7 linked regions of the Nothobranchius furzeri genome follow. Each later gene encodes a partner of the first gene's protein in a complex. Links are inferred from orthologs where the notes say so. Each region holds a gene or a part of one and is shown in the gene's direction. Other genes may lie near its edges. The genes, in order: usp39, lsm4, lsm7, smx5, sart1, lsm6 and snrpd3l.

Evidence for each region.
Region 2: usp39 (region 1) and lsm4 share a complex: the UniProt entries of both Homo sapiens proteins name them as parts of the U4/U6-U5 tri-snRNP complex. The link is inferred for Nothobranchius furzeri from reciprocal best matches to the Homo sapiens genes USP39 and LSM4.
Region 3: usp39 (region 1) and lsm7 share a complex: the UniProt entries of both Homo sapiens proteins name them as parts of the U4/U6-U5 tri-snRNP complex. The link is inferred for Nothobranchius furzeri from reciprocal best matches to the Homo sapiens genes USP39 and LSM7.
Region 4: usp39 (region 1) and smx5 share a complex: the UniProt entries of both Homo sapiens proteins name them as parts of the U4/U6-U5 tri-snRNP complex. The link is inferred for Nothobranchius furzeri from reciprocal best matches to the Homo sapiens genes USP39 and LSM2.
Region 5: usp39 (region 1) and sart1 share a complex: the UniProt entries of both Homo sapiens proteins name them as parts of the U4/U6-U5 tri-snRNP complex. The link is inferred for Nothobranchius furzeri from reciprocal best matches to the Homo sapiens genes USP39 and SART1.
Region 6: usp39 (region 1) and lsm6 share a complex: the UniProt entries of both Homo sapiens proteins name them as parts of the U4/U6-U5 tri-snRNP complex. The link is inferred for Nothobranchius furzeri from reciprocal best matches to the Homo sapiens genes USP39 and LSM6.
Region 7: usp39 (region 1) and snrpd3l share a complex: the UniProt entries of both Homo sapiens proteins name them as parts of the U4/U6-U5 tri-snRNP complex. The link is inferred for Nothobranchius furzeri from reciprocal best matches to the Homo sapiens genes USP39 and SNRPD3.

What each region holds. Positions count from the first base shown.
Region 1 is NC_091757.1:46,431,441-46,434,234, reverse strand, and holds the end of usp39 (ubiquitin carboxyl-terminal hydrolase 39), read left to right. Parts: coding exon 1-125; intron 126-276; coding exon 277-419; intron 420-868; coding exon 869-1,004; intron 1,005-1,377; coding exon 1,378-1,464; intron 1,465-2,043; coding exon 2,044-2,094; 3' UTR 2,095-2,294; downstream 2,295-2,794.
Region 2 is NC_091748.1:65,762,208-65,766,336, reverse strand, and holds the start of lsm4 (U6 snRNA-associated Sm-like protein LSm4), read left to right. Parts: upstream 1-1,329; 5' UTR 1,330-1,466; coding exon 1,467-1,469; intron 1,470-2,278; coding exon 2,279-2,320; intron 2,321-2,805; coding exon 2,806-2,904; intron 2,905-3,409; coding exon 3,410-3,590; intron 3,591-3,670; coding exon 3,671-3,777; 3' UTR 3,778-4,129. UniProt on the Homo sapiens protein: Plays a role in pre-mRNA splicing as component of the U4/U6-U5 tri-snRNP complex that is involved in spliceosome assembly, and as component of the precatalytic spliceosome (spliceosome B complex).
Region 3 is NC_091748.1:58,320,411-58,324,505, reverse strand, and holds lsm7 (U6 snRNA-associated Sm-like protein LSm7), read left to right. Parts: upstream 1-1,337; 5' UTR 1,338-1,441; coding exon 1,442-1,447; intron 1,448-1,687; coding exon 1,688-1,778; intron 1,779-1,877; coding exon 1,878-1,949; intron 1,950-3,178; coding exon 3,179-3,321; 3' UTR 3,322-3,595; downstream 3,596-4,095. Other genes in the region: kelch-like protein 23, read right to left, coding at 1-18. UniProt on the Homo sapiens protein: Plays a role in pre-mRNA splicing as component of the U4/U6-U5 tri-snRNP complex that is involved in spliceosome assembly, and as component of the precatalytic spliceosome (spliceosome B complex).
Region 4 is NC_091756.1:60,995,362-60,999,571, forward strand, and holds the start of smx5 (smx5), read left to right. Parts: upstream 1-1,410; 5' UTR 1,411-1,487; coding exon 1,488-1,490; intron 1,491-1,679; coding exon 1,680-1,747; intron 1,748-2,075; coding exon 2,076-2,106; intron 2,107-2,192; coding exon 2,193-2,252; intron 2,253-4,210. UniProt on the Homo sapiens protein: Plays a role in pre-mRNA splicing as component of the U4/U6-U5 tri-snRNP complex that is involved in spliceosome assembly, and as component of the precatalytic spliceosome (spliceosome B complex).
Region 5 is NC_091744.1:19,554,456-19,558,702, forward strand, and holds the start of sart1 (U4/U6.U5 tri-snRNP-associated protein 1), read left to right. Parts: upstream 1-1,447; 5' UTR 1,448-1,776; coding exon 1,777-4,089; 3' UTR 4,090-4,247. UniProt on the Homo sapiens protein: Plays a role in mRNA splicing as a component of the U4/U6-U5 tri-snRNP, one of the building blocks of the spliceosome. May also bind to DNA.
Region 6 is NC_091744.1:10,586,904-10,590,893, reverse strand, and holds the start of lsm6 (U6 snRNA-associated Sm-like protein LSm6), read left to right. Parts: upstream 1-1,190; 5' UTR 1,191-1,279; exon of another isoform or gene 1,280-1,320; intron 1,321-1,340; exon of another isoform or gene 1,341-1,445; intron 1,446-1,690; 5' UTR 1,691-1,702; coding exon 1,703-1,796; intron 1,797-2,609; coding exon 2,610-2,723; intron 2,724-3,087; exon of another isoform or gene 3,088-3,202; intron 3,203-3,990. UniProt on the Homo sapiens protein: Plays a role in pre-mRNA splicing as component of the U4/U6-U5 tri-snRNP complex that is involved in spliceosome assembly, and as component of the precatalytic spliceosome (spliceosome B complex).
Region 7 is NC_091746.1:48,714,974-48,718,978, forward strand, and holds snrpd3l (small nuclear ribonucleoprotein D3 polypeptide, like), read left to right. Parts: upstream 1-1,205; 5' UTR 1,206-1,337; intron 1,338-2,127; 5' UTR 2,128-2,142; coding exon 2,143-2,268; intron 2,269-3,055; coding exon 3,056-3,248; intron 3,249-3,631; coding exon 3,632-3,696; 3' UTR 3,697-3,827; downstream 3,828-4,005. UniProt on the Homo sapiens protein: Plays a role in pre-mRNA splicing as a core component of the spliceosomal U1, U2, U4 and U5 small nuclear ribonucleoproteins (snRNPs), the building blocks of the spliceosome.

The sequences.
Region 1 (2,794 bases):
CCTTCCTGTTTCTGACCCTTGACCTCCCAACAGCTCCTCTGTACAAGGATGAGAAGGAACAACTTATCATCCCACAGGTCCCTCTATTTAACATCCTGGGCAAGTTCAGTGGCACCACAGAAAAGGTACTAACCCCTTTACTGACTGATGCTGAATTAATAACATAAAGGAAGACCAGCCTGTAAATTCTTCAACTCAAGTATTGAAGTGCATTAATGTTATTCAACAGGAAATAAAATGGAACTAATGCACATGTGCATGTGATGCTGTTTGCAGGAATACAAAACCTACAAAGAGAATTTCCTCAAAAGATTCCAGTTGACCAAACTGCCACCGTACCTCATCTTTTGCATCAAAAGATTCACCAAGAACAATTTCTTTGTGGAAAAAAATCCAACAATTGTCAATTTCCCGATCACGTAAGTTGTTTTTGTTTACTCAGACTAGGGCAGTAAATCGAACACTTATCGTTATCGAAATTTCTAACTCTAACCGATATCATTGTTTCCATGTCAGTAAATTTGGTAATAAAGATGGAAAGATGTGTGTAGGTTGGAGACAATCAAGTCCTTTTAAGAAGCTGAACCACCTTGAATCACATGACAACATGACTCAAAGTAATACACGTAACAGCCCCATCTAGTGGACAACTTCTGGTTTTGTGCATACATGTAGTTATGGTCCATTTATAGTTATCAAGGCTAACTTCTCAATGTGCCGTGATATGGATTTTAGGCCACATCGCCCATCCCTAACTCAGACTTTTGCTTAAACACATTTATAAAGTTCAGCTTACATCTGCTGTTTATTATTTTAGGCTAAACTACACGTTTAAATGTATTTTGAACTTTGCTGTTTGCTTCAACAGGAACGTGGACCTTTCTGAGTATCTGACAGAAGAAGCTCAAGCTACAGAGAAGAATACGACTTATGACCTTGTTGCAAATGTGGTGCATGATGGGAAACCCACAGAGGGATCATACAGGATACATGTCCTGCATCATGTAAGCTACAGCTGACCAGTTTTTCATGTGCACTGGGATCAACGTAGCATCTGTGTCCTGTTCTCTGAGTCACAGTAGATTTCAGAATGATAAATGACCCGCACTTGTATAGCGCCTCTCAGATTAAGGACTCCAAAGCTCTTTACAGTGTATCATTCATCCATTCACACACACATTCACACACTGATGGTGATGAGCTACGATTTAGCCACAGCTGCCCTGGGGCGCACTGACCGAGGCGAGGCTGCCACAGGGCCACAAAGTAATGAAAGAATGTGGCCTGAGTTTCTGATGAGTTTTCTGTCTGTAACAAAAGCTTTCAGTTGTGTTTTAGTGATCTACGGCAGAATAACTGAATGCTTTGTTTGACCAGGGGACAGGGAAGTGGTACGAGATGCAGGACCTGCAGGTCATCGACATTCTTCCCCAGATGATCACGCTGTCAGAGGCTTACATCCAAGTAAGTCTACCCTATAAGTCTTAGTATTTACCTGCGAGTTCGAAGAATTTACTTTTTTCCTTTAATGAAAACATTTGACTACAATCTGAAGAATCTGCTGTTTGTTTACTTCCTGAATTTAATTAGTTAAAGGCTTAACAAAGTATTGGGATTTTCAAAACAAAAGCCTCATTGTTGGCTCTAAATTCTAAATGTATGGCATCAGACAGTTGTTTTAACTAACTATAGTTTTGTTTTTTACAAAGGAAAACAACACAAATCTTCTCTTTCTCAGCTTTGCTTAAAGGTTTTGTCAAATTCTGAGAAAAGAGCATAATGGAAATAATTGACAATGACATTGTAGACTGAGTGCAATCATCACAAACTTTACACAGAATATAATTAAAATAAAATAAAGCTTCAAACCACATAACTGACTATCCAACCTGTTACTGAGGAAAAATAATCTAGTTATTGATTAAAACCATCTACTCAGTTGCTTCTAGTGTGTACGTACTTCCTAAAAAGCTGTTATTTGGTATTATAATTTAAAAAGGATTTTCTTAGTGTTTTTTTTAATTGTTGCCCTTTTCTTGCCAGATTTGGAAGAGACAGGAGAGCAGTGACACAAACAGCCACACGGCGGAGTAAGTGCTGCAATGTATTTCCCATCCTGGGTGGCGTTTCGTTTCATCACAACTCTGGAAATCAACTCAAATCTTTAAATGATCTGAAGTGCAACAGAACTTTGTTTAAAGCGACACAAAGCCTTGAAATGCAGAAGTTCTTTTTTTGTGGTTTTATCTTTTCACCTTGTGGAGTTTTCTAAATAAACCACCTTGAGGACAAAAGTCTTTGTAAATGAAAGCTTAACAACACAACCTTTAAATTAGGTTTTATTTGTATTTGATCTTCTTCACCAGCTGCCGGAAGAGCAGCAGCACAATCAGAGAGGAAGCATCACTAAAGCCGGGCATACACTGTGCGACTTTTTCACTTTTTTGAGCCAATTTTCCACTCGTGTGAGAATCCACAAGATCGGGGCGAGTTTTGCGCCGAGCATCGTGTAGTGTACGGGGGGTTACGAGAGGCGATTAACACCATGTGACCAGCTACCGATCAGCAATCGTGAGCTCGCACGGACTTCTGGCGTGTTTAATATTTTGCTCGTCCCTCGTGAGGGTATCGCACTGTTGAAGCGGCGCTGCGAGCAGCTGCGACACAAAATGGATCAGAACCGCTCACGGCGCATGTGCAATCCTGCATCAATGCCGCTCGCCCGCTATTTCCCTAATAACACACGTACGTTTTTGTTTCTACACGTTTTTTTTACTCACAAATATTGTCAAGA
Region 2 (4,129 bases), on another chromosome or scaffold:
ATGGAAATCTCTCCATAGACCCAATGTGAAGAACTGGATGAAACAGATGTTACAGGTAATGCCGCTGGAATGGATTACTTATATCTTAAAAGCCAAGCAACACTTATTTGACAAAATATGGACACCTTTTCTAACATATATTAAGAAGATGGACATAAAAATCTGAGGACTTATAAAGTGGGAGAGTATAGGAAAATACTCGGTCTTCTGACCAGCATTAAGACTGGAATGGGAGAAGCAAAAGCGAGGTGTAATTCGGGGACTTCTTGCTCACAGTTTTGTTAAACATGTCTATGTGCATATTGCCTTCAGTACTATATATGCTCTTACGTTGGAGAGGATCGCCAAAAGCCGAAGCACAACCAAAATTGTTATATTGTTCTACTGTTCTGTTGTTCCCTGATGATTTTATACAGAATGTACTTTCAATATACAACATAATACTGTGTAAAAGGTGTACACAGAAAATTTAATAAAATATACTTTTTGAAAAAAAAATGTAGTCAAAGATCCATCAGATTGATATTTCATATTTCTATGGAATCTCACATTTTATGGTTCATAAGTAAGATGGAAACGACTCATTCTTTACAAGTGCACAAATAACTCAGATTATAAACTTTACAACATTAACAAAATATAGCACCAAGGATCTGTGCAGGACAACCTGCCAAGAATGTGCATTGTTAGTTATAGACGTTATGGTGCATTTAATCTTTAACTGACACCTCTAATGGTTTATTACTCTTAACATTTAGTATAATGGGGCAATTTCAAAATTTACCACTTTGCAATGGCCATGTCCTCCCATTTGAAGATGTTTGTCTTTTTATGCAAAATTCACTCTTGAAGACAAATAATTTGATATAATTTTTATGAAAGCTATGGCTTTAGTAAGACTGCTGCAGCCTTTTACTGCGGTCAGGCCTATACAATTAACAGCATCACATAATATCTTCACCAATAAATAAATTATGAAGTATCAACAAAAAATTTTTTACTTATTGAGCTCATTTATTCTCATCACGTTCTAACTGATTAAAATATGGAGTGTGTTCATAATTATGTGTTATAAATTACTGTAAAAAAGCTTTTCTGATCAAAGTGACTTACCAATGAAACTTTAGCACTGTTTATATTTTCTGCTGGTTTCAAACTACTCCTTCGGAAGACTCTTGTTTGTTCTCATAATTAAGAAAATGATCTATTCAGACACTTTTAAGTTTAAACAGTGGTCTCAGTGTGGCCACAAAATAAAACGCGCGGAGAGAAAGTGCAGGTTTCGACGCTAGGGGGCAGTGTGCTGTGGTGAAGCCGCCGTTTGTAGTAGAATAAGAAAACGCAGAAGGCTAAAAGGAAATCCTTTCCCCAGGCTGGATTCGACCGCCAGAAGAAGAAGAAAGCTGGATTCGACCATTCGCCACAGCCTTAGGTTCGCCGCGTAAAACAAGCTATAAACCGTCATAATGGTGAGTATCTAACCTCTAGTTGTGGGTAGTTGAGAATGTATTCTTTAATAGGTCATCTTTGGTTCGGCTGACGGAAACCGTGTTAACATTTTTAATAAATTATACCGAAGTGAAAGCTTTAAGATGCTAAGCATGTAGCTAAAATAAACCGTAACATTTAGCTTTATTCAGGAGCCAGTAGACCTACCACAACTTCAGAAGTGTTGTTGTGTTATAAACGTGTTTAAATGACCTGATTTAATTCTGTAGTTTTATGGGTTCGGGGTGAATTACTCTATATTCTCATAAGAACAGCAAAAATTACCTTGTTCCTCACACTGGATGCCAAATGTATACGTTTGGGTGTAAAAACTAGATTTTAAAAAGTTAAAGAAGCATGCAAAATACAGTAAATTAATCAAAATATGAACTGCAAAGAAACTATGCAGAGTTGTTGCACACATTTGTGCAAGTAATGTCCCACATTAGCTGGAACGTGTATCAGTTAGTTAAAGGCGGATTATAATCCCAGTATCAGATAAAGGTACAAAGTAAACAGGTTAATAATCAGACTGAAATGTTAATGTACCAAGTAGAAATTAAGCGTCAGGAGCTCAGCTGTTCAGAAGTCTGGTGGCTGTGGGAAAGTGTGTGCCTCCTGTCTGAAGGTAAAACTGTTGATGTTGGTGGTGAAGAGCCTCTGATCGGGTGGTTGCTCTCCAGTAGACTCTGGATTCTTGGTTTCATGCGGTTTATTATGCGTCAGAAATAATGCTGTAAATGAGGTCTATTCTGTTAAATTAGATTTCAATCTGGTGTTTTATTTTCAGCTTCCCCTGTCACTCTTAAAGACCGCTCAGAATCATCCCATGGTGAGGCAAAACCTTGATTTTAAGTCTGATATTCTTTACAATATTGTATCCTTTAGGCTGTGTCATTAGTTATGTGAAGAAGCATCTGTTCTCTATGTAAATAATAACCTGCTTTAGTAAATTACAAGTGAAACTTAAAAAAAATACAGTATGGTGCAAAAGGTCGTTTATTTCAGTGATTGAACTAAAAAGTGAAACTAATGTATGAGATGGACTCATTACATGCAAAGCCAGATGTTTCGGCCTTTATCTGTTATATTTGTTATGATTTTGCCTTACAGCTTATCAAAACCCCACATTCAAAATATCAGACAACTAGAATATTGTGAAAAGGTTCATATTCTAGCCTCAAAGAGTCACACTCTAATTAGCTAATGATTAGAGCTAATTTTTTGTTCTTGACTTTAGTTTAGTTTGTCTGATCTGTTATTAGAACTTGCTCATTGTATGATTTTTAGCTTATAAAGCAGTGTGCTCTTTATTAGCTGGTGGAGCTGAAGAATGGAGAGACCTACAACGGTCACCTGGTCAGCTGTGACAACTGGATGAACATCAACCTGAGAGAAGTCATCTGCACATCCAGGGTGAAACATGCTTCTCCCTTTAATAAAATGTGACCTTTTGACAAAGGGAAAATACCAAAATATTTTAATTTGCTTAATGTGCTTTCATATTTGGTCTCTCATGAGACATTTGTATGTACAGTATATTTGCACAACTGTGTTGTGAAGGACAGCCTGCCTATGTGAACTGAGAAGTCTGCAGAATCCTGCACTGAAACTATCAGAACAGCTTCAGACAACAGCTGAGATACAATGATTGATTCATAGTGACTGTAAGAACAGACACAGTGCGCTAACTGGACCATCAGTGACTGTAATAATTTTTAAATTGTGCAGCTTTGTGGTGTTTTTGTACATGTAAACAAAAGAAAGATGGGTGATCACAACTAAACATGATCATTTGCCTATTATCCCCTCAGTCGGGTTTATTGTGCTAGACTTTAGGTAAATTAACATAAATGCAAAATAGAAGTGTTATTAATTGAGGAATTTAATTTAAACAGAAACTCTCACCATCTTTTTACAGGATGGAGATAAATTCTGGAGGATGCCTGAGTGCTACATCCGAGGAAGCACCATCAAATATCTGCGTATCCCAGATGAGATCATTGACATGGTGAGGGAGGAGGTGGTGTCGAAAGGACGAGGTCGCGGCGGCTCTCAGCAGAATAAACAACAGGGCAAAGGAAGAGGAGGGCCCGGCCGAGGTGAAGGATGCCGTTTGATCAGGTTGGTTTTGAACTCATGTAGAATTGATTTGTTGGACTGAACACAGCTGTTCCTGTAGGTGTGTTTGGTGGTCGTGGGAGAGGGATGTCTGGGCCTGGTCGAGGACAGCAGCAGCAGCAGGATAAGAAAGCAGGAAAACCACAGGGGATGAAAAACCAGCACTGACACACAATGATGCTTCGTTTGTTTTAAACACTTCCTGTTGAGGGACGTCTGCCTCAGTAACAATGACATCAACTCTGCTGTTTCTCTCTGTTGTGATGTTTACAACAACCGATTGTTGCCAGATAATACTTTAGTTTGATTTTTTTAAATCCTTTTTATTGGTGTAGAAAAGTCGAGGCCCAAATTTAGTTTAGTAGATATTTTAACTGGCTTTTTCCTCATTTCTGTAGTTTACTTCCAGCTTTGTTATCTGAAAGATTTTCTTTATAACCACAGCTGGTGAAGCAGTAGAGCGACAGCCAACAGGACTCACTTCCTGAATATTTCTGTTTAAACCTTTATAAGACGGCAT
Region 3 (4,095 bases), on another chromosome or scaffold:
TAAAACAGATTCATCCATGTCTGTTTTGTTGTAGCTCACGTAGAAGTCCCCTCTGCAGGCGGTGTCATTGCAAACAGCCTCACCAAAATATCTTGACCTACTTGTGGTTTGCAACCCACCAACTGGTACACAGTCAGGGTTTATTAATAGTAGTCATGTGTGGGTCATGACCAAGCTAATTCAGTGTGCTGGCTTGTTCATGTCAATGACTGGAGCAAGCTCCATGCTGAGAGCCTTTATTGGTTATTGATTTTTTTCCCAATAACAATACTGAAACTCAAAAAATTAGAATATGGTGCAAAAGTTCACTTATTTCAATAATCCATCTTAGACTGAGAGACCATCTAAAGGCTCGGGAACCCTTTGCAGATGTTTTTGATTAATTAGCTGGTTAGAGTGCGACACTTTGAGTCTAGAGTATTGAACCTTCTCGCACGTTCTGTTTGTCTGAGATATTTAGTTTTAGATGTTTTCGTAAGCTGTAAGCCATAATCATCACACTTATAACAAATAAATGATGGAAATATCTGGTTTTGCATAGAATGAGTTTATCTCATGAATTTGTTTCACCTTTTAGGTTTTTATACTGAAATCAATAAACTTTTGAACCATGTTCAAATTTTTTGAGTTTCATCTGTATACATTTTATTTTAAAAAGGGTTTCATTGTGGGGCAGTTGGAAGCACTGGTGACTCACAGGAACAATGTCATAGGTTTAAACCTTGGCTACGGCCTTTCATTCTCTCCATGCATGTGTGGGTTTGCTCTGGGTACATGCTCCTCCAGCAGACCAAAAACATACAAGCTGATCGGCAACCCCAACTGTCTTTAGTTGTGAACTCAGTATTAGCATAGTTTTTAACACTGTTACATACTGTTTTGATTGTGAATTTAGCTAAATAATAAACGAAAAAGGCTGTTAGAGCGAGTTTCCCACTCGCTGATAACAAAAGTGTTATAGCGTTTTATTTAGAAAGAATTTACAGGCAGTTTTCTCTTCTCCATCTCCATCAACCAAAAGAAACAAAAATACAGATTATGATCCCCCCCCCCCCCCCCCCCCAGTTTCATTGCCATGAGACTAGAACGTTCCCTTCTAGCTTCTTAGAACCTGATTGTAGTTGCAGTTTATCCCCACTGGAGGGCGTAGATTTCTTCTGAGATTGTAGCCTGTAGCTATTAGCTAACGCACAATGCAGCTGAGAAAGATGAACGTTTTTCCCAGCCTGACAGCGTATTAAGACAATCACATGAGTGTGTATTTAACTCATTACGTTTTAGTAGAGATGGTAGTCCCGAGACTTTTACAAAAATCAATATTGTTTCATTTTACTTTTTATGGTCTACAGCTGGACCTCTCTGAACCCTCTGAACGCGTTATCTCATTGGATCACTATCATTTCCTAGGGTCTAAGATTTACTTCCGGGTCAGACAGTAAATATGGCGGTGAGTTCGTAATCCATGGCTTTCATTATATTGTGTTACTTTTTATCTTTTCACATCCACATTTGTATTGTTAAGATTTAGCTTTGTTTTCTGAACAAAAGTCGACTTGAACAACTTTTATTTTGCTGTGACGGTAGACGTTTTACTTAAATAACGTGGCTAGTAGTGAGCTAAGCTAAGGCTACGTTTTGTTTGTGATTAATTAGTGACTTAAGACAATGTAACCTGGCCTTTCTGCAGGATAAAGAAAAGAAAAAGAAGGAGAGCATCTTCGACTTGTCCAAGTATATCGACAAGACGATTCGGGTGAAGTTTCAAGGTGGACGAGAGGGTGGGTGGACCAAGCTGTTGCTAACCCTTTCATTTCGTGCAAGCAGTAAATGTCTAGATTTCCTTATGTGGAAGCCTAAAATTTGTGTTTTCTTCTCAGCAAGCGGCGTTTTGAAAGGATTTGATCCTCTGTTGAACCTGGTGCTGGACGGCACGATCGAATACATGCGTGGTAAGAAAACCAAAACTCAAATCCAGCCAGAAAACTGCTCCTCAGTCTGAGTCCATGTTTATATCGATGAAGGACTTTTCCTGAACACATTCCGAAGTTCCCCAACACACATAACTATAAAGTAATAATTCGCATTAATTTCGCCCCTACCGTCATCTTTAAAACGATCTACAGTTAGTGAAAATAAGCATGTTGATCAAAACATTATGTTCATGTTCAGAGCATGTTTAAGAGACATTTTTCTACTTCACTTTTTTGAGTTAATTTGTTTTTCAGTAAATTATCAGGAATACGTGTGTGTGTGCGTGCGTGCGTGCTAATCTTGTTTGACAATAAAAGCAACATAATTTTAGATTATCTTCAGTGGACGAACATTACATATAATTACATGTAGACAAAAACATGTTGCTGCTATGTTTAAAAGAAGAAAATTCACAGGCTCTAAATAATTCATTCTAAAACATCAAATAATCCGAGAGATTTTCTGGGCTTCAAATTGAAAAAAGGTTTCCAAATTTTCAAATCACGCCCTTGTATGTAAGATTAATTTTTCAGTTTCATAAAATTAAGAAAGTCTGTGTGTAAAAGCATCTGTGGAATTGTTTTCTTTTTGTACAAACAAACAGAAAACATTGTGTAGACACCTCTCTACTGGAACAGTGTGTTGTTTCCAGGTAAAGGTAAGTAGCTGGTTGTGTTTTTTGTGCTCTTACCCTGTAAGGTTACTCCACCTATCTCCTCTACCATCACTGTGGATTTGTTGAAAATGTGATGCTAGTTTGAACAAACACTGGAAAAATGCTCAAGTTTCTAATTCTCAGTTTAGTGTTTGGAGGGGAGGGTTGAGCTAATATTCAGAGGAGTCATGGAGGCCACTCGGGTGGAACAAAAACCAGAAACATGTGGGGGGAAATTAAATTGATTTAAAAATCCCCAAACAAAAGATGAGTGGCTTTTTTCAGTTTGAGGTTTGTTCTTTAGTGGTCGAAGCAGATTTTTAACAGTGATAACAAATCAAATGTTGTTGGTTTTTTATCGCTGTTACAAGTGGTCGTCTTGTGTGGACTTAACATCTTTGAAAAATACATCTGAACTGAAGATGGTCAAAACAAAAAAATCAAAGGTCTCACCATTCATGTTTTAGTTTTGAGTGCATTCCGGTAAAATGCTTGGTGGACACCCAGCTGCTTGACATTTCCAGTGTGAACGTTCTGTGGCTTTGTGTGCAGATCCAGACGACCAGCTGAAGCTGACAGAAGACACCCGACAGCTGGGGCTGGTGGTCTGCAGAGGAACCTCTGTGGTGCTGATCTGTCCTCAGGATGGCATGGAGGCCATTCCTAACCCATTCATCCAGCAGCAAGATGGATAACCCCCATGCTGCTGCGTGGCACACTTTTGATTAGACTTTTCTTTTTTAACATTACAGGACACTTGTCATTCAGACGACAAACATGTTTTAAGTTCATCACTGGTAAAATAAGGCTCCGTTGCACTTCAGTTTTATTTCCCTGCTAATTTTGCTCATTTTTGTGTTGTGAGGAGCTCCCAGTTCTGAAAGTGTTAAAACAAATTTCTTGTTATCTGAGTGAACTTTTTACTATTCTTTGTTTTTGATAAGAAAATAAAGTGGAAAAAAAGCTGAATCTGAATGTTTTTCTCCTTTGAACACAGAGGACGTGTTGGAAAGTTACACCAGATATGGTCTATTCGAAAGGGTGACAAGGATCTGAGTGGTTTTGTTGACCCGACAGACGTCCCCTACCTGCTGGTTGTGACTGACTCGATGGGTCTACAGACTACTGAACTCTGCAGTAAAAAAAAAGATGAGTGTGTTTAGGTTTAAAGGGAGTTTCTGTGTTTGAAGATAAACCGTTCAAGCTTGTCTGCACACTCACAAAGACACATATGTGGCATTAACAGCTTTTAAGTCAGTAATGCATTAAGCTGGGGTGGGGGTGTAAAGTAATGATATCTATGGATTGTTCCTTTTGAAAGAAAGGATCTTCAGTAGATTTTGGCGTTGGAGAAACGCAGAAACAAAATGCTGATGAGTTTTAAGTGAGATAACTGAAGCTGTTTTTTAAAATGGCAAAATTTTTACTTAACTGGATGTGAAACCTCCTAAAAGTAGGTTAGAATAGTG
Region 4 (4,210 bases), on another chromosome or scaffold:
AAATAAAACATATTTAATCGTTAAACTTTCAGCCCTGGTTTGACCTTATTTTAAATAAAAAATAGGTTTCAAAGCGCTAGCAGAAATTTTGAGAACCAGTGAACTCCTCTAGAAAGATCATGGTGAGATTCTGCACACAGTCTGGGCCAAAACCAGTTCATCAGAGACCACCGACAGATGGGACTGGAGAGCAGAGACACTGATGGGACTATACCTGCTTGAACCTGAGGGACCAAGGCAATCAGCATGGATGACTGGTTTGAGACTGGAAGCCTTCCCACACCAGGGTGACCAGTATAAGGAGTAGGGATGGATTCCAGATGTGGTACTTTTTAAGGCACCGACTGAATTATGTGGTACCCACCAGGGATCAATTCTCCTACGACTGGCTTTTTCATATAAGAGGAAACCGTCTTCCCTTGCTGCAGAGTTTTTATGTTTACAGCCGGACCTTGAGTTTTTTGAAGAAAATGTGAATTCAATTCAACTCAAAGCTTTGTTTATAAAGTGCCTTCCGCGACCTTGTCAGGGAGCCCAAGGTGCTGTACACAGTACATAAGAAACATAAATCACAATGAATAAATAGAAAATAAAAGCAATTAAAATAGTGCAAAGGGGGTAAAACATTGAAGTAGAAACAAATAGATAAAACAAGGGAACTCATCTCTATACCAACCATTCTGTCCTGTTTTGCACCATACCAGTTTCCGTTTTTTATTCATTTATTTATTTTAATAAAAGAAGCAGACAAACGCCAAATGTGAGCTTGTCATAAATCTTGTTGCATTTTATCCCACTGTTAGACTGACTTCTTTTCTCTGCTGGGTTTATCTTATCACCTAATTATTAGACTATCTTATGTCCTTGCTTTAATGGGTTAAGGCTGTTTACAAGTTTGAGCACATCTGTCATCATCTGTTTAAATGTGTGTCATCTAATCACAATTTAAATCAACGCTGATTAGGATTTAGACCTATTTTTCACCAGTTTTCATTATTCTAGAAGAAAAACATACCTGCTGCACACAGCTGGGCAAAATAGGGCCATTTACATATATTTCATACGTAGGTAAGGCACACATAGGTTTATCCTATTTACCAGGGCTGCCGACTTCTTTAAAAGTCTCAGAGTGAGATTTTCTTTATTTTAACATATCTCTCTCTCTCTCTCTCTCTCTCTCTCTGTGTGTGTGTGTGTGTGTGTGTGTGTGTGTGTAGGGACGTGGACTATTAGGGTTTGTTACGCAAAGTGATATTAAGGCAGATTTAATTTTTCAGAGGCAAATTAGATGCTGTAATCACACTTAAGTGTGTAAAAAAACACAATGTTGATTAATTATGAGCAAAACATGTCAAAGAAATGGATACGATTCAAGCTGAATATGTTGAAGACCTCTGGCTCCCCCTGGTGGTAGTTGTCTGTATTTGCAGCGCTCCCTGATACGTCATCAAAAGCGGACGCGACTACTGAACAAAGCTACCGCAAAAATGGTGAGCTAACCTCGTTCAATATTCAAAATGTATTTAGCATGACACCAAACACATGACAGTTAAATAAGTCGTTACCTTAGTCTTTGTGTAACTGTTAGTGTTTCCATTCTCTCTTTGTTCATAAACTGTCGTGCTCGACGTGTAGCGTGCAGCTACACGCTAACGTTAGCATGTCGTTGTGCTCCGCAGCTTTTCTACTCGTTTTTCAAGTCTCTGGTTGGGAAGGACGTAGTGGTGGAGCTCAAGAACGATCTGAGGTTAGTGTTTTACGGCTTGGCCTCCACTGCTGTGATAAATCGTTGAAGCTGTTGTTCATTTGCAGGAAAGAACGCTAGCAATTCGACCCACTGTAGCACCACGTTGGAAACAAGTGGTCTCTAAACGCGAAGCTTTGAATGAACTTCTGCTAAAGCTTGAGCTATTTCTTTGTATATTCCAATGGACTTGTAGCTTATTAGTACTGCGACGTTTCTACACGAGTCTGACTCGGAAATTAAGGCAACCGAGCTAAACGAGCCATGTAGCCTATTCAAAAGTGTCCAAATGTTTGTTTTCTTGAATATTTATCCACACATCTGTTTTCAGCATCTGCGGAACGCTTCATTCTGTTGACCAGGTATTGAAAATACACTTTTTGAAACTCTTTCAGACAAACTTCTGCAGTTTTTTGACATTTACATTCCTACTCTTTTTGGTTTTTAGTACCTGAACATAAAGTTGACAGACATCAGTGTGACGGATCCAGAGAAATATCCACACATGGTAAGTAGCATACTTGAGACACATCGGTCCTAAGGTCACGTTGCTTCAGATGTCTGTAGAAATCTGAGGCTAATCTCACTACGAGTGTTTTCCACATTCACAGCAGGGTTAACAAACACAAACTCAGCCCTCTAATTGGTAAAAAGGTGTGATTATTCACTTAAACCAAAGATGCGACAGATTTTTGTTTTGTTTTCAGGTCGAGTACTAAAGCCTTACCTCTAGTCCTCAGAAAATAAAAATACAACTTAATAGGGCTGGATGAAAACTTATTTGTCAGTGTCCTTTTGCAGAATTCCAATTTTACAATATTATACCTCCATATTTTTTCTTCTGTAAATATTTGCAAGTTAACTCCCTTCAAGCTGTCTACAGAAAGTGTAATCATAAATTCATCAGCAGATTAAATGCACAATTTAATCAGATTCTTGTCAAACATCAACCTAAGTGCCATTCTCTATCAGTTTGAGCTGTAGAAACACTTGTACAGCTGTATGCTAACACACATGTAGGTTTAGATATTTATGCCGCTGGTTTGACCCGTCTCTCAGCACCAGCAGGATAAATAAATCTCCGTCAGCAGCCACGGTGAAAAGTAGCGATGTAAGACAATATCGATATGGCAATATATCGTGATGTTTTTTCCTGCAATATTATATTGATATCCAAAAGCCATGTGTTGAACTTTTTGGAATAGTTTACATGCAAACATTTGTGTATTTTCTTTTCTTTTGGTGCAATTCAAACACTGACCGCTAGCTAGCAGCAGTGTGCATTGGGTTTTGTTTCCACCACTGAAATATAAATCCCTCTATTATGGTTCAGATACCTCATGTTTAACATGTTAAGTATCAGTTTGGACTGTTTATTGAAATTTTCTACAATAAATTCAGTCTAAAAAATCGCTGATATCGTCTGGCTGAATGTATCGCAATATATCGTGATATATCGTATCGTCTTCCCTGTATCGTGATACGTATCGTATCGCCACAATTTCACCAATACACATCCGTAGTGAAAAGGCTCACTAAAACACGAACAAATGTCCCCAAATAATTAAAAACCACTAATCCAAATGCAAAGTTTAGGGCAGAAAATTGACCTAGAGGTTTCCTGATCGAGCAGACACGTGAGAATACATGTAATGATCGCATAGAGACAGAACAAGCTAGTGGATAGCAATAGCTGCACCTGCTAATGCTAGAAATTCACTGTTTTTATATTTATATTGATGTAAAGATATTGAGTCATCAGGTTTCTTGTTTGAAATTATATCCACATTTAAAAAATCTCAGCCCTACAACTGAAAGTAAATGGGTTTTTAACTAGAAATTTATTTCAACCATACTTACTCACAACTTGGCTTGCTCATGGGTATCTCCTTAAAAATGTATCAAATCTTGACAAACTAGTTTTATTTTTACCTGAAGTCATAAAAACTCAAGGAAAAGTGATTTTTAAATAGTCTAGATTAACTCACAAACCTGTGGATTTGTAGCCCACAAACGGTTGTGTTTTATTAACACTCTCTGCAGCAAAGATGCTTTTAGTTAATACGTTTACTCGGACGTTCCGAGGACTCACCTTTACCACAAGGGTTAGACTGAATGAGCTTTCCACCGAACGTGAAAGCGTCATGAAATGGACGCTAAACTTACCTCGCTGAAATTAGCCACCGTTATAGCGAATAGGTTCCTTTCTACCGGCGGCTAGTGTGTAAGTGGCAAAAGTGTACGCCATCGTTACGCTATTTGTTTATGTGCTACCCTTCCAAAACCATCAAACCGGCCGGACAGGAAGCCGAACACAGAGGCGGTGTCAAACATCCCAAAACGTTCTAAGTAAGTCACGTTCAGATAGACGTACATCATTTCCTTTGAAACCCCCGTAGCCAATGTAAACGGAACAGAACAGACCTTGTGGATACCTGCAGCTGTCTTTCTCCTTGCCTGTTATTG
Region 5 (4,247 bases), on another chromosome or scaffold:
GCTAACTGCCTGGACCCAAATGGCTAACAGAAGCAGCACGATGCTGTTACAAGCAAGCCGATTTGTCATTTATTACTTGGGCTCAATCCATCGTGGGGGGTTTCGTGCTAAAAGACATTTCAGCCATCCAGGTAACAATTTCTTCTATTCTTTCTTATCCTGGCATGATCTGACGATTCTTACTGAGGGAAACACGCAATTCACGTATCTATTATCCTAGGTGACATATTCAAAGGTTTTTTTAATACACAAAATAAAGAATAGTGGTAAACTCGTGTATAGATCTATTGAGAAACTCGCAACAAATGCAATTACAAATATTTTGAAAGATAATTAAAATATCTATTAAGAACTTGATGAAATAGCATTTGATTCAAACTTTATTTATTGAAATACAGCAAGGCAACAGCACTACCACTGTGCCAACATGCAGCCAAAGCATAACAGATTCAAGTAAAATTTAAAATGTAGTATGTATAAAAATGAGTGAAATTAACATGTGAACTGATATGATATCCATAATGTTACACCTACTCCTACCCTAGGATCCACCCATCCCTTCCTCTATTCCACTGCATCTCTTTGTGCACTTCCATCTATGTTGCACTCTGATTCATTTCTACACTATTTTCGCATACTCCTCTGTCGGAGCCTAGTGTTCTTTCCTCTAATCAGTTTATCGTTAGAATCAGATGCAAGTACTGTTACATCCTTGTTTATAGATCGTTTTGGACAAAAGCATCTGCCAAATACATTAGCACAATGCCCTTTTTGATATCTGGAGCTCAATACAGATAAATGCAAAAGCTGAAGTAGAAAAATGTAATTTGAAAAAATCCTTAATGCTGTTGTTGGTAGACAGAAACCATTGCTAGACATCTGACTTTTTCTCTTTGTCTGAGAAGAATTAATTTTGATGTATATCTGAAAGTGATAAACATCCCAGCCATTAAATGTTCAAATGACCGTTTGGAATCAAAAGCATTTTTAAATACTCTAAACCTGGGGGTTTCCAATTGAAATATCAATTACAGTATTAAAATGTGTTTTTACTGATCAGAATGCACTTCTAGATATTATTTCAGTTACGATAAGTAAGAAATACATTTTGATAATGGGAATTATTATAACTTTATCTAAAATTTTAAGTGAATGGAAATGTTTTGCTTCATTAAATGCTATCACGGCTTGCTAAATACAGCAGGTTGCAGGCTGCAACCTTTGCTAAGCTAACAAGCTAAAGTAAAGGAACTGCGCCAAAATAGAGGAGATAGTAAATCGCTGTGTTGCACTTCGTGTACTTTTTGTAAAGTATCAAACAATTTTCCTAAAACATTTAAAAGCGTTTGTTTGTCAGTTAATGTCCGGTTGTTAAAGCCCCAGCCAGCAGGGGGCGATATACAACCAGGGCGAGCAAAGTTTTTTCTACCACTTGACTTCCGGAAACGAATTCGTTGTCGTTGTATGTTCGTTTCGTCGAAGTAGCAAACTTAAAACGTGGTTGTTAGTATTTATGCTGGTGCGAGGTGCTACAAATAAACAAACCAACGAAACTCCACGTATTTTCCACCGATGCTGGATATCGAAAATATGATGCAGTTTTCCCCGAAATGAGTGAGTTTTGACGTGGCTAACCCTTTAGCTTTTGAAGCTAACTCGACCTAGTTGGGAGAAAAGTTCGCGACATTTACCACATCAATACAGCTGAAGAGACTGCGTACGCAGCTTGACTGTGACGGAACTACGACTCTGGAGTTGTAAACAGCGGACGAAATCATGGGTTCTTCAAAGAAACACAAGGAAAAGAGTCGCGATAAGGACGCAGAAGAGCGCCGTCGTGAACATAAGAAGCATCGGCACAAAGAACGAGAGAGAGACAGAGATGCCTCAGATCGGGATGGAACTCGAGAAAAACGAAAACGCTCCAGGTCCAGGGAAAGGAGCAGACGGGATAGTCGCAGCAAAGGGGAAAAAAGCAGTGGCGAGACTCGTATAAAGAGGGAGAAATTGGATCCTGGCTATGAGGAAGGCAGTGCAGAAATACAGCCTCAGAGTGCAAGTGGAGATGCTTCCCTCAGCGTCGAGGAAACGAACAAACTCCGAGCCAAGCTGGGTTTAAAGCCTCTGGAACTCAATGAGAACAAGAAAGAACTTGGAACCAAAGAGGAGCCACTGGTGGCTGAGACCATCAACCCTGTTCTCATCCAGCAGCAGAAAGAGATGAGGGAGAAGCTTGCAGCTATGAAAGAAAAACGTCTCCTCAATCAGAAACTGGGCAAAGTCAAAAACCTTGCAGATGATGATTGGCTCGATGACACAGCCGCTTGGATTGAAAGAAGCAGAAAGCTGGCACAAGAGAAAGAAATGGCAGAGAAAAGAGCCAAACTTCTGGAAGAGATGGATGAGGAGTTTGGTGTCAGCAATCTGGTTGAAGAGGAGTTTGCTCAAAGTAAATTGGATTCTTATTCTTCACGGGATCTCAAAGGCCTCAAAGTGCAGCACAAGGTTGATTCCTTCAAGGAGGGCCACACTGTCATTCTGACCCTGCAAGACAAAGGTGTCCTGGAAGAAGAGGAGGATGTGCTTGTGAACGTGGGACTGGTGGACAAGGAAAAAGCAGAAAAGAATGTGGAGTTGAAAAAGAAAAAGCCTGACTACAAGCCCTACGAAGAAGAGGAGAGTGTGGATGACATGGTCACCTTTAAGCCCCGCACTGTACTTTCAAAATACGATGAAGAAATTGAAGGTGAAAAGAAAAAGAGCTTTCGTTTGAGCACATGGGGATTTGCTGATGGGGAGCGAGAACGGGAGCTGCAGGCTATGAAAGAAACGCTGCAAAACCAGGCCCAGTCTTTGGAAATGCCTGCTCTTGCTATCGCTTCGGAGTATTACACGCCTCAGGAAATGGTTGGCTTTAAAAAGACAAAACGCCGTGTGAAGAAAATCAGGAAGAAGGAGAAGCAGACAATTGCAGATGAGCTCCTTGATGACACTCGCAGCTCTGACTTTGGCTCCCGAGCACGAGGTCGGGGCCGCAAACAGGACAACGAAGAGGAGAATACAGGCAAGGGCGAGCGTTGGCCACATGAAATCCCCCAAATGTCTGATGACATCAGGACGGCAGAAATGGAAATGAGTGATGAAGAAAACTTCACGCCTCCTGAGCCAGCTGTAATTGAGGAGGATGAGGCAGAGCAGGAGCTGCAGAAACAACTGGAGAAACAGAGGAAGCTGAGGCAGAAGCAGCTTCTCAAAGACTCCGGGGAGAAGGTGGCAGAGCAGATCAGACGGTTTGTTAAAGGCGGTGACGAAAATGATCCTGACAAGAGGAATAACATTGTCTTCAATGCCACCTCTGAGTTCTGCAGAACTCTGGGTGATATTCCAACGTATGGACTGTCTGGAAACAGGGAAGACCAGGAGGATATCATGGACTTTGAACAGGAAGAAGAGAAAGATGATGCTGGAGATTCAGACTCCGAAATGGATGAAAATATTGGGTGGAGCACAGTTAACCTGGATGAGGAGCAAAATCATGCTGAATTTTCCACAGCCTCTGCCACTATCCTGGATGAGGAACCCATCGTGAACTCTGGCCTTGCTGCTGCTTTACTGCTGTGCAAAAATAAAGGGCTGCTGGACACGCAAATGCAAAAGGTGGCTCGTGTCAAAGCAACAAAGGGGTCCCTGCCTAATGACAACTACTGCATCGAGGACAAGATGGGCTTTGATGATAAGTACAGTCGCCGGGAAGAATACAGAGGCTTCACGCAGGATTTCAAGGAAAAGGATGGATATAAACCCGACGTCAAAATTGAGTATGTGGATGAGTCTGGGCGCAGACTCACCCCAAAAGAGGCATTCAGGCAGCTTTCGCATCGTTTCCACGGCAAAGGTTCTGGAAAGATGAAAACTGAAAGGAGGATGAAAAAGCTGGAGGAGGAAGCGCTGCTGAAGAAGATGAGCAGCAGCGATACACCTCTGGGGACGGTGGCTTTGCTTCAAGAGAAACAGAAATCTCAGAAAACGCCGTACATCGTCCTCAGTGGCAGTGGGAAGAGCATGAATGCAAACACCATCACTAAATAAATATGTAGGGGAAAATGATTATTGTTGTAGCTCTTTTGAGATTATTGCTAGTTTATGGTCTTGCTTCAGTGTTGATATAACAATAGTATAAGAAAATCAGTACAGGTGTAAACTATTTCATTTGTCTTGTGAATTTCCTAAAAGAACAATAATTTAAA
Region 6 (3,990 bases), on another chromosome or scaffold:
CGAAGTTGGTTACTCGTTAGAATAATTAAAAGAATTATTTGTTTTCATACACTTTATTCATAGACTTCTTCACAACTACAAAAAAGTTTTCCATTGGTTCAATAGTTTTTGTGATGTTAACAAATGTTTGTTATAATAAGAAAATATTTCACCAGGCACATGTTTATGTTTATGTTTATGTATTTAGCAGACGCTTTTGTCCAAAGCGACTTACAAGTGATGTGTTTATAAGAATGAAAAGATGTCTTTTTTAAGTGCACATCATAGACTGTACATACTGTGCACATTTTCCCATTTCCCCAAGATTCACTGATTTCCCTCTTTCCTGTTCACTCTCTCTCTCTCTCTCTCTCTCTCTCTCTCTCTCTCTCTCTCTCTCTCTCTCTCTCTCTCTCTCTCTCTCTCTCTCTCTCTCTGTCTCCCCCTCTCCCTCCCTCTCTCTCTCTCTCTCTCTCTCTCTGTCTCCCCCTCTCCCTCTCCCTCTCTCTCTCTCTGTCTCCCTCTCTCTCTCTCTCTCTCTCTCTCTTTCTTTCTCTCTCTCTCTTTGCCTTTTTAATCACAATTGTCTATTTTTGCTTATTTTGAACATATTTTAAATCATTTTTTGAAACCTTTTTTATATTTTATATTTTTGTGAAGTGCCTTGAGATTTTTGTCTTGAGAGGAGCTACAGAAAAGATTGTTTTCTTTCTTTCTTTCTTTCTTTCTTTCTTTCTTTCTTTCTTTCTTTCTTTCTTTCTTTCTTTCTTTCTTTTAAACGTTTGAACACTTACAGATCAAGAAGAAAGAAAATGTACCTGAAATTGGAATAGGCTTATTTGTGCATATCCCACATTACATTGAGATAAATTTTGAATTTGTAAAAAGAATAGTAAAATAATACAATGAGACATTCACATGAAATATTATGTTTTTACATATTTACAGTAGTTTCTCATTTTCTGTATGAATTTGTTACATAATAGAAATATTACTAATGCTTCAGTTTATTCAAAGTATAACAATGCACAACAAAACAAAAAAACTTTAGTATATTATAATATGAAAGCCAGTGGATATAATATTAATTACAACATATTAGAAATACATTTATAGAAAATAACTTGTTAAAGGAAATGGGTATATCGTATTTTTAAAATGTACTTTTAAATATTCTTGTTTTGTCTATCGAATTAAAACTTTGCGCTTTCAGGACATTTGTCCCTACATAGTTTCCGTAGTCCTCCAATGTGATTGGTCAATGCGCCGAACATAAAATCGTTGTGAGATCGTTCATCCAGTGAGTAACTTGCTAGCTCGGTGTTCGCATCTGTAAAACTAGTAAAACATCTATTTCCTATCTTATTAGGATCTGTTATGATGTAACAATACCTGTACATTGTACTTTATTGTTAAACAATCTCCTACGCTATTAGAGGCTAACGAACTGACCCACGGAATAGCTGGTAGTTAGCACTTAGCTCGCTAGCTACATAGAAGCTCATTTGATAATTTGAACGTTTTAACCGTACATAGTTTTGCATTTAGGCGTGTACTATCTGGCTACAGCTATTCGTTTTAATATTCTCGGGTTTGAATAATGCCTTTGTTACTAGATAATCAATTATAGCTTAAATGTGTATTAGGGTAATGCTAATGCGGTTCTTTATTGTGATAAAATGAGATTTACTCATCTGTTTTATTCTTTTAGATAAAAGCGAAAATGAGTTTGAGAAAGCAGACCCCGAGTGACTTTCTGAAGCAGATAATTGGGAGACCTGTCGTGGTCAAACTGAACTCTGGTGTTGATTACAGAGGTAATGCAGCTGGCATCAGGTGTGGGAATGTTTAGGGTTCTCAGAGTTTGATTAGGTTATGAATCAGAGGGTTTGTTAAGCAGTCATTGATGCATCTTTTTACGCCTTCTGCCTCATGTTTAGTTCTAGACAATGACCCCCTGACAACTACTTTTAATTTTTAATGATCTTTTAATTCATTACAGTTAAGTTCTTTATACAGGCAGACAGGAAGTTGAATGATGTAATCCCATATAGGATTAGAAACTATGAAACAAACACTAACTGAAAAACAGTTAAATTACTGCAGTTAAACTCCAGTTAAATGCTGAGTAATTGGAATAAACTTGAAAAGTTTCGTGAGGACCAAATTTTGCTTTAATCTTCAACAAACTATTTGTGTTTGTGTTGATATTAATTCATTTACCAAGCTAAAGAGAGATTCACACAGGTTACACAGATACATGGAGGAGGAACACTTTTTGACACAACACTCCTACTCAGACATCTTTGTTACAGTTTAAAATGTTCAGTTTTTCAGTATTTGATGTATTTATTTCTTCAGTCAAGACTCAAACTCCATCCCAGTTGCACACCATAATGTGCCACACTTCTGCACTTCAGATGTCTGCCTTTTACACTCACCTAAATAATGATCATTATTAAAATCTGTTTTGATAATTTTTGAATGAATTTGTAATGGTTTATGTTTGCATCAAAATGCATAAAAAACAGTATGCCCCTCTTCCCTAGCTGGCACGTTCAGGTCTGTTGTTGTTTTATTGCCCAGGTAAGTTTATTTTTAATCTGAAGTTTGTGTTTGTCTCTGAGCAGGTGTTTTGGCCTGTCTGGATGGTTACATGAACATCGCAATAGAGCAGACGGAGGAGTATGTCAATGGACAACTCAAAAACAAGTATGGAGATGCCTTTTTGAGAGGAAATAATGGTAAGATTTGATGTTTTCACGCTGCAGGGCGTTATACAACACCGTTTTCCTCTGTTACTATAGCTCCAAGTCATATTTAATGATTAAACATTCCAGGTTATGAAGGCTGTACATTTGCCATGATCTGAGTCTTTGGTGCAGTCAACTTCCTAGCCTCATTCTTATTAGCTCACAGAGACAACATTATTACACTGTGTGCTCTAATAGATCTTTCAGTTGTTTAGGTTTTTTTTTTCAATCCAAAGTGATTAGAGATTTAAATTTGTTGACAATTTTTAAATGAAACTTTCAAAGTCATGCACCACAAGATGTTTATTTTCATTTTCTCATTAAGCATTTTTGCACCTCAAACCTATCTTTATAGGAAAACCACAAGATATTCCCTTTTAAAGTTGGGAAACTAACCATGTCGGAGTTATACAGGAAGCTCACTTCCGATGAAAACATCGAGCCCCTTTGTTGCTGCTTTGAAAAAACTGGTAAAATGCTACTATTTTACAGCATCGTTTGTTAATTAATTCATTATGTTACATTAGAAATGTACTGATTTAGCTTCTGATGGCAGAAACTGATTTGTGTTGCCTCAAAGTGATACTAATTTTGGGTGATTTTTAAATATAATATGCTGTTTGAATTTAAATATTAAATAGAATATTTTGGAAGTGTAAACTTCTACATTAATAGGGTTAATAAGTAGGGTTAGGGAATATTTTGATACCTGTGTGATTTTTGTGGTGCCTCTCTAGACTGAGCAGATACAGCTGCGACTGACTACTAGGGATGCACCGATGGATCGGCATTTGATCCCAACTGGCCGATAGCGCCCCTATCGGTTTTGATCGGAGTTTTCAAAATGGATCAAAGCAGACCGATCAGGTAGGGTTGTCACGGTAACCGGTGTAGCAGTAAACCCCGGTAAAATAAAAAAAAGTTGACAATAATAATAACCGTCCGTTTTTAAAAAAACTATATTATCTCGGTGGTTTACCGTGGCTGCGGTGTAGGCGCGGTGACCCTTACCAGCCACCGTATCATCTGTTGAAGTTGCCAGCGGCACATGCGCACTTTGTTGTTTACAACCAAAACTTTCTTGAAGCTAAAGCTGAAATAATGGCCAAAGGAGGAAACGGCAGCGCGCAGGACATTTATTATACCTCAAAGAAAACAAAGTGGGAAGTACGGGCATTTTTTGAATATTTGAAGAATGCCGAGGGACAGTTTATAGAAGACGGCTATCCTGTTTGCAGCACGTGCAGAAAAAGTGTCT
Region 7 (4,005 bases), on another chromosome or scaffold:
CACACACACACACACACACACACACGTAAAGTGCCCAACCACAAACTACTCACTGAAAGGTGTTTACAGATCAGCCATGGCTGCTGACGCCAGTCAATGAGCCAAATGCAATGGAAATCAAATGAAGATTCATTTGATGATGTCTTTTATTATCCCATTATGCCTTCTCTTTCCCCATTAAAAAGCTCTTTCAATGTGGGACAGACCTGCATTAGGCCACTTTTATGTGTCCCGTAGCAATCCCCGAGACACATCTCCTGGAACAAACATACACGGGTATGTATATTATGTGTACTTTATGTTTATTCTAGTTCTTTGCATATCATTTGTGCAGTACACTGTGGCCATACTCAGTGTTGTAAAAATAGATAAAATTAGTTCATTTTAATGTTTTGTTTTTATGTCTAATGCTGTTTTGATTTGCATGAGATACAGATCATAAAAATACTGTTGTGGGTGATTCAATGATGGATCAATGTTCCATGGGAATTTAAAAAGTACCTAACACTGAGCTGCTTTATGAAAAGCCATGTAAAGCTGTAAATGTCAACTTGGAGCCAAGATGACAAGTAATGCAAAACTGTTCTATTTTTCTGAAAGAAAATGCAAATCAATCCTGCTACTGGATCAACATTTGCTTTTTAAAACAATACAGTTCAGTGTCTGGTGTAGCTGCATAAATTGCCCATCGTCATTAGACGATGCAGAAAATGTAGTCAACAGCTGATTTCCTTCAAAATCATGGAAATCAAGTTTATTCATTAAACTTTAGTCAGATGTACGTAAACACATATTCAGTCCTCTTAGAAATGCAATGTTCTACTTGTGGAGAATGAAAATCAATTTTCATTTCCATCATAACTCAACATTTATAGAAGAAAGAATGAAACAATCTTTTATATAGCGCCCCCAAGATAAAAATCGCGAGGTGCTTCTCAAGCATAAAAAATTAAAAACAAATACAAGTAAAAAACAGATTATAAATTAAGGAAACGTGATTAAAATGTAAATAGTTTCTTATAATTTTAGTTTTTATTTTATTTAATTTTATGTGTTTCAGTCTTTATAAAAAAAATAATTCTACATAAGAAGCTGAGTTTGTCAGTTTCACTAAATAATAGTCCCATAGACTGTACATACTCAATAGTCCTCAACCATGGGCGTTATTGAACTACGTGTCCCACAATGCATCGCGGTAGGTGCCACCGGAAACACTCGTTGTGACCCTTCGTTGCAGGCGGAAAAAAAGGCTCAAAAGGATCCCGAAAGCGTCAAACGCACGTTGCAGTTCAAGAAGAAATAACAATAAAGCAAATAACTCTTACGAACAAGTCAAGGTAAGTTACAGGAGTAACATTAATTAGTTTGAGGAAACGGAGTTCTCATTCTTCTATTGGTTTTCGTTATTTAGAAATTTCGATTTATTTCGTTCATGTGTAGCATGGCTAAGGTTACGCGCATTTTCAAAACTCCGTATGTTACTGTAAAATATTTAGGTATTTAACTATGCTTATTAATCGTAGTAAACTGTAAATAGCATTTACGGCCAATCATATTTACTGTTTGGAATTGTTTAATGGTAGTTTCTAGATAAATTTGTCCTGTAGCCTTGCTAGCTAGTATGGCTAACTGAGCTAGCGGTTAGAATGCTATCAAACATTCTCCACCAGACTCTTAAAAAAAGAGAATACCCAAGCGAAATCGTTTATTCTCTAGTAATGTTATAAAGTGTATTACTGCGTAAATTCATGCTAAATAATAAAAACACCTTCATTTTAGTTAAGTCTAAATACTATGTCCCACATGAAAGTTTCAATTAATGTAGCGTTCGGGTTCACAACACTTCTTTTGTTATGGCTTTTTGCACAAAACCTGTTTTCCCAGGGCGTCTTTCCTTATTTGTCTTAATTTCAGTGACTAGTATTAATCCACAGTCATGAAAAAGTTCACTCGCCTTATTCTGTTGCTTCTCCTACTAGTTGTAATGCAGATTGTAGATTTCAGTGCTGGAAACTGGGCAACCCGGCTAACCAATAAAGTTAAATGGATTTGGGTTGCCAATATTTAAGAGCAGACATTTCTGTGGGTGAGCACGTATAATCTTTTGCTTTGTGTGTTGTGTTCCAGGAAAAGCTTTGAAACATGTCCATCGGTGTACCAATCAAGGTCCTGCATGAGGCAGAGGGTCACATTGTGACCTGTGAGACCAACACTGGAGAGGTGTACAGGGGCAAGCTGATAGAAGCAGAGGACAATATGAACTGCCAGGTTGGTTTGTTTAGCAGTATGGTTTAAAAGGGTTCCAGTGATTTTTAATTGTCAAGAAAAGTGTCAATGAAAAGCCTTCAAAATACTGTTGATCATAAACATCCAGTCAGTGCTTGTTTCAATCCCATCTGCTGCCTGAATAAATTTTGTTTTTATTTCTCTTGCAAATTGCCTTTCTTGCAGCTTTTTAATGGGTTAAATTAAAAAAAATATTTAATTTTTATTTTGTGCACTCACAATAACTTGGGTCAGTAAATTTGGCATTTAAGGTGTTCTGTTAATGTGGATTTTTTGTGGGGTATGTAGTCATAAAAGCTTTTGTTTGTGTAATTACTGGTAAACTAATTTGTGTTTGGGATTAGTGTTCCCCTAAATTGCAAAACGTTTGGCCAAACAATGGTGTACATGGATGCTTGGTGTGAAGAGTTTTATTTTTTTGTAAAAGTGTTTCATTAAAGCATTCTTATCAGAAAGGCTTTTATGTTGGGTTTTCATTTTAAGTTGGTCTTTAGCTTTCATGATTTACCCAGTTCAGTCAGTTATTTAACTCTGTTGTTGCATCATAATTTAATAAACAGTCTAAAGTAACATCACTCTTCAATTGGATTCTATTTCAGCACACATTTTTATAAGGGTTGAATAAACTGAAATGTTAATTTACATTTGAGCCATGCTAGTTTGGTAACCTGTGTGCACCAAGATCCAGATAAGTAACAGAACTGGATTAATGGATGCTCACACGGTCATTTCACCTGTTGTGGACCTAAACTTGAATTTGTCCCTACAGATGTCCAACATCACCGTGACCTACCGCGATGGCCGGGTTGCACAGTTGGAACAGGTCTACATTCGCGGCAGCAAGATCCGCTTTTTGATCCTACCGGACATGTTAAAGAATGCTCCGATGTTAAAGAGTATGAAGAACAAGAACCAAGGCTCTGGGGCAGGAAGAGGAAAGGCAGCTATTCTTAAAGCACAAGGTGAGTGAGAAGCATTTGGACAATTTCTCCAGATGCTGAGACAGCGCTAGAGTTTAGTTCCCTCTTTAGCTGCTTGGCTCTTAAATAGTTGTTAATTACTTTTTTTTACAGGTAACAACAGTGTTCTATGTGGACACTTCTCACATTTTCTGAGGTGGAATGGTTTGAAAGACAGATCCCAATTCTTTTTTATCTAATATAAAGGGAAAAAAAGGCTTTTTCAAAGGAATGTTTAATGGTATTGTCTAATTTCTTCTCTTGTAGAAGTCCAACATAGTCAAAATATTTGAGTAGGGAAAATAGGGATTTGTGGGGGGGCATTTCTTCCAGACCAAAGAGATACCTTTTTTTGGAGTTTGACTTTTTATTTTTACTTTTAACAGTGGCTGCAAGAGGACGAGGTCGTGGTGGAATGGGGAGAGGCAACATTTTCCAGAAGAGACGATAACTTATTTTGTTTTAAATTTCATTGTTTGATGTCATCTTTTGGATTTACTATGCTTTGGTTTACTTTGCAGTCTTTTGCTCTACAATTTATCACTGTTTTTATTTTGTATGAAATAAACAGATTTCAGCTCAGTGTTGCTCTTCTTGACTGAACCTTTGCTGTGCTTTGCCCCATTGAAGCCCTTTTTTTGTAGTATTATTCAATTTTGAGTCCCACCTCTTTCATTTATATTGTGTATTGTAACCTTTTAGCAAGTAAAATTTGTACATTTACCCACGGAAAAGCATTTTACTGCATATTTATCCTAGT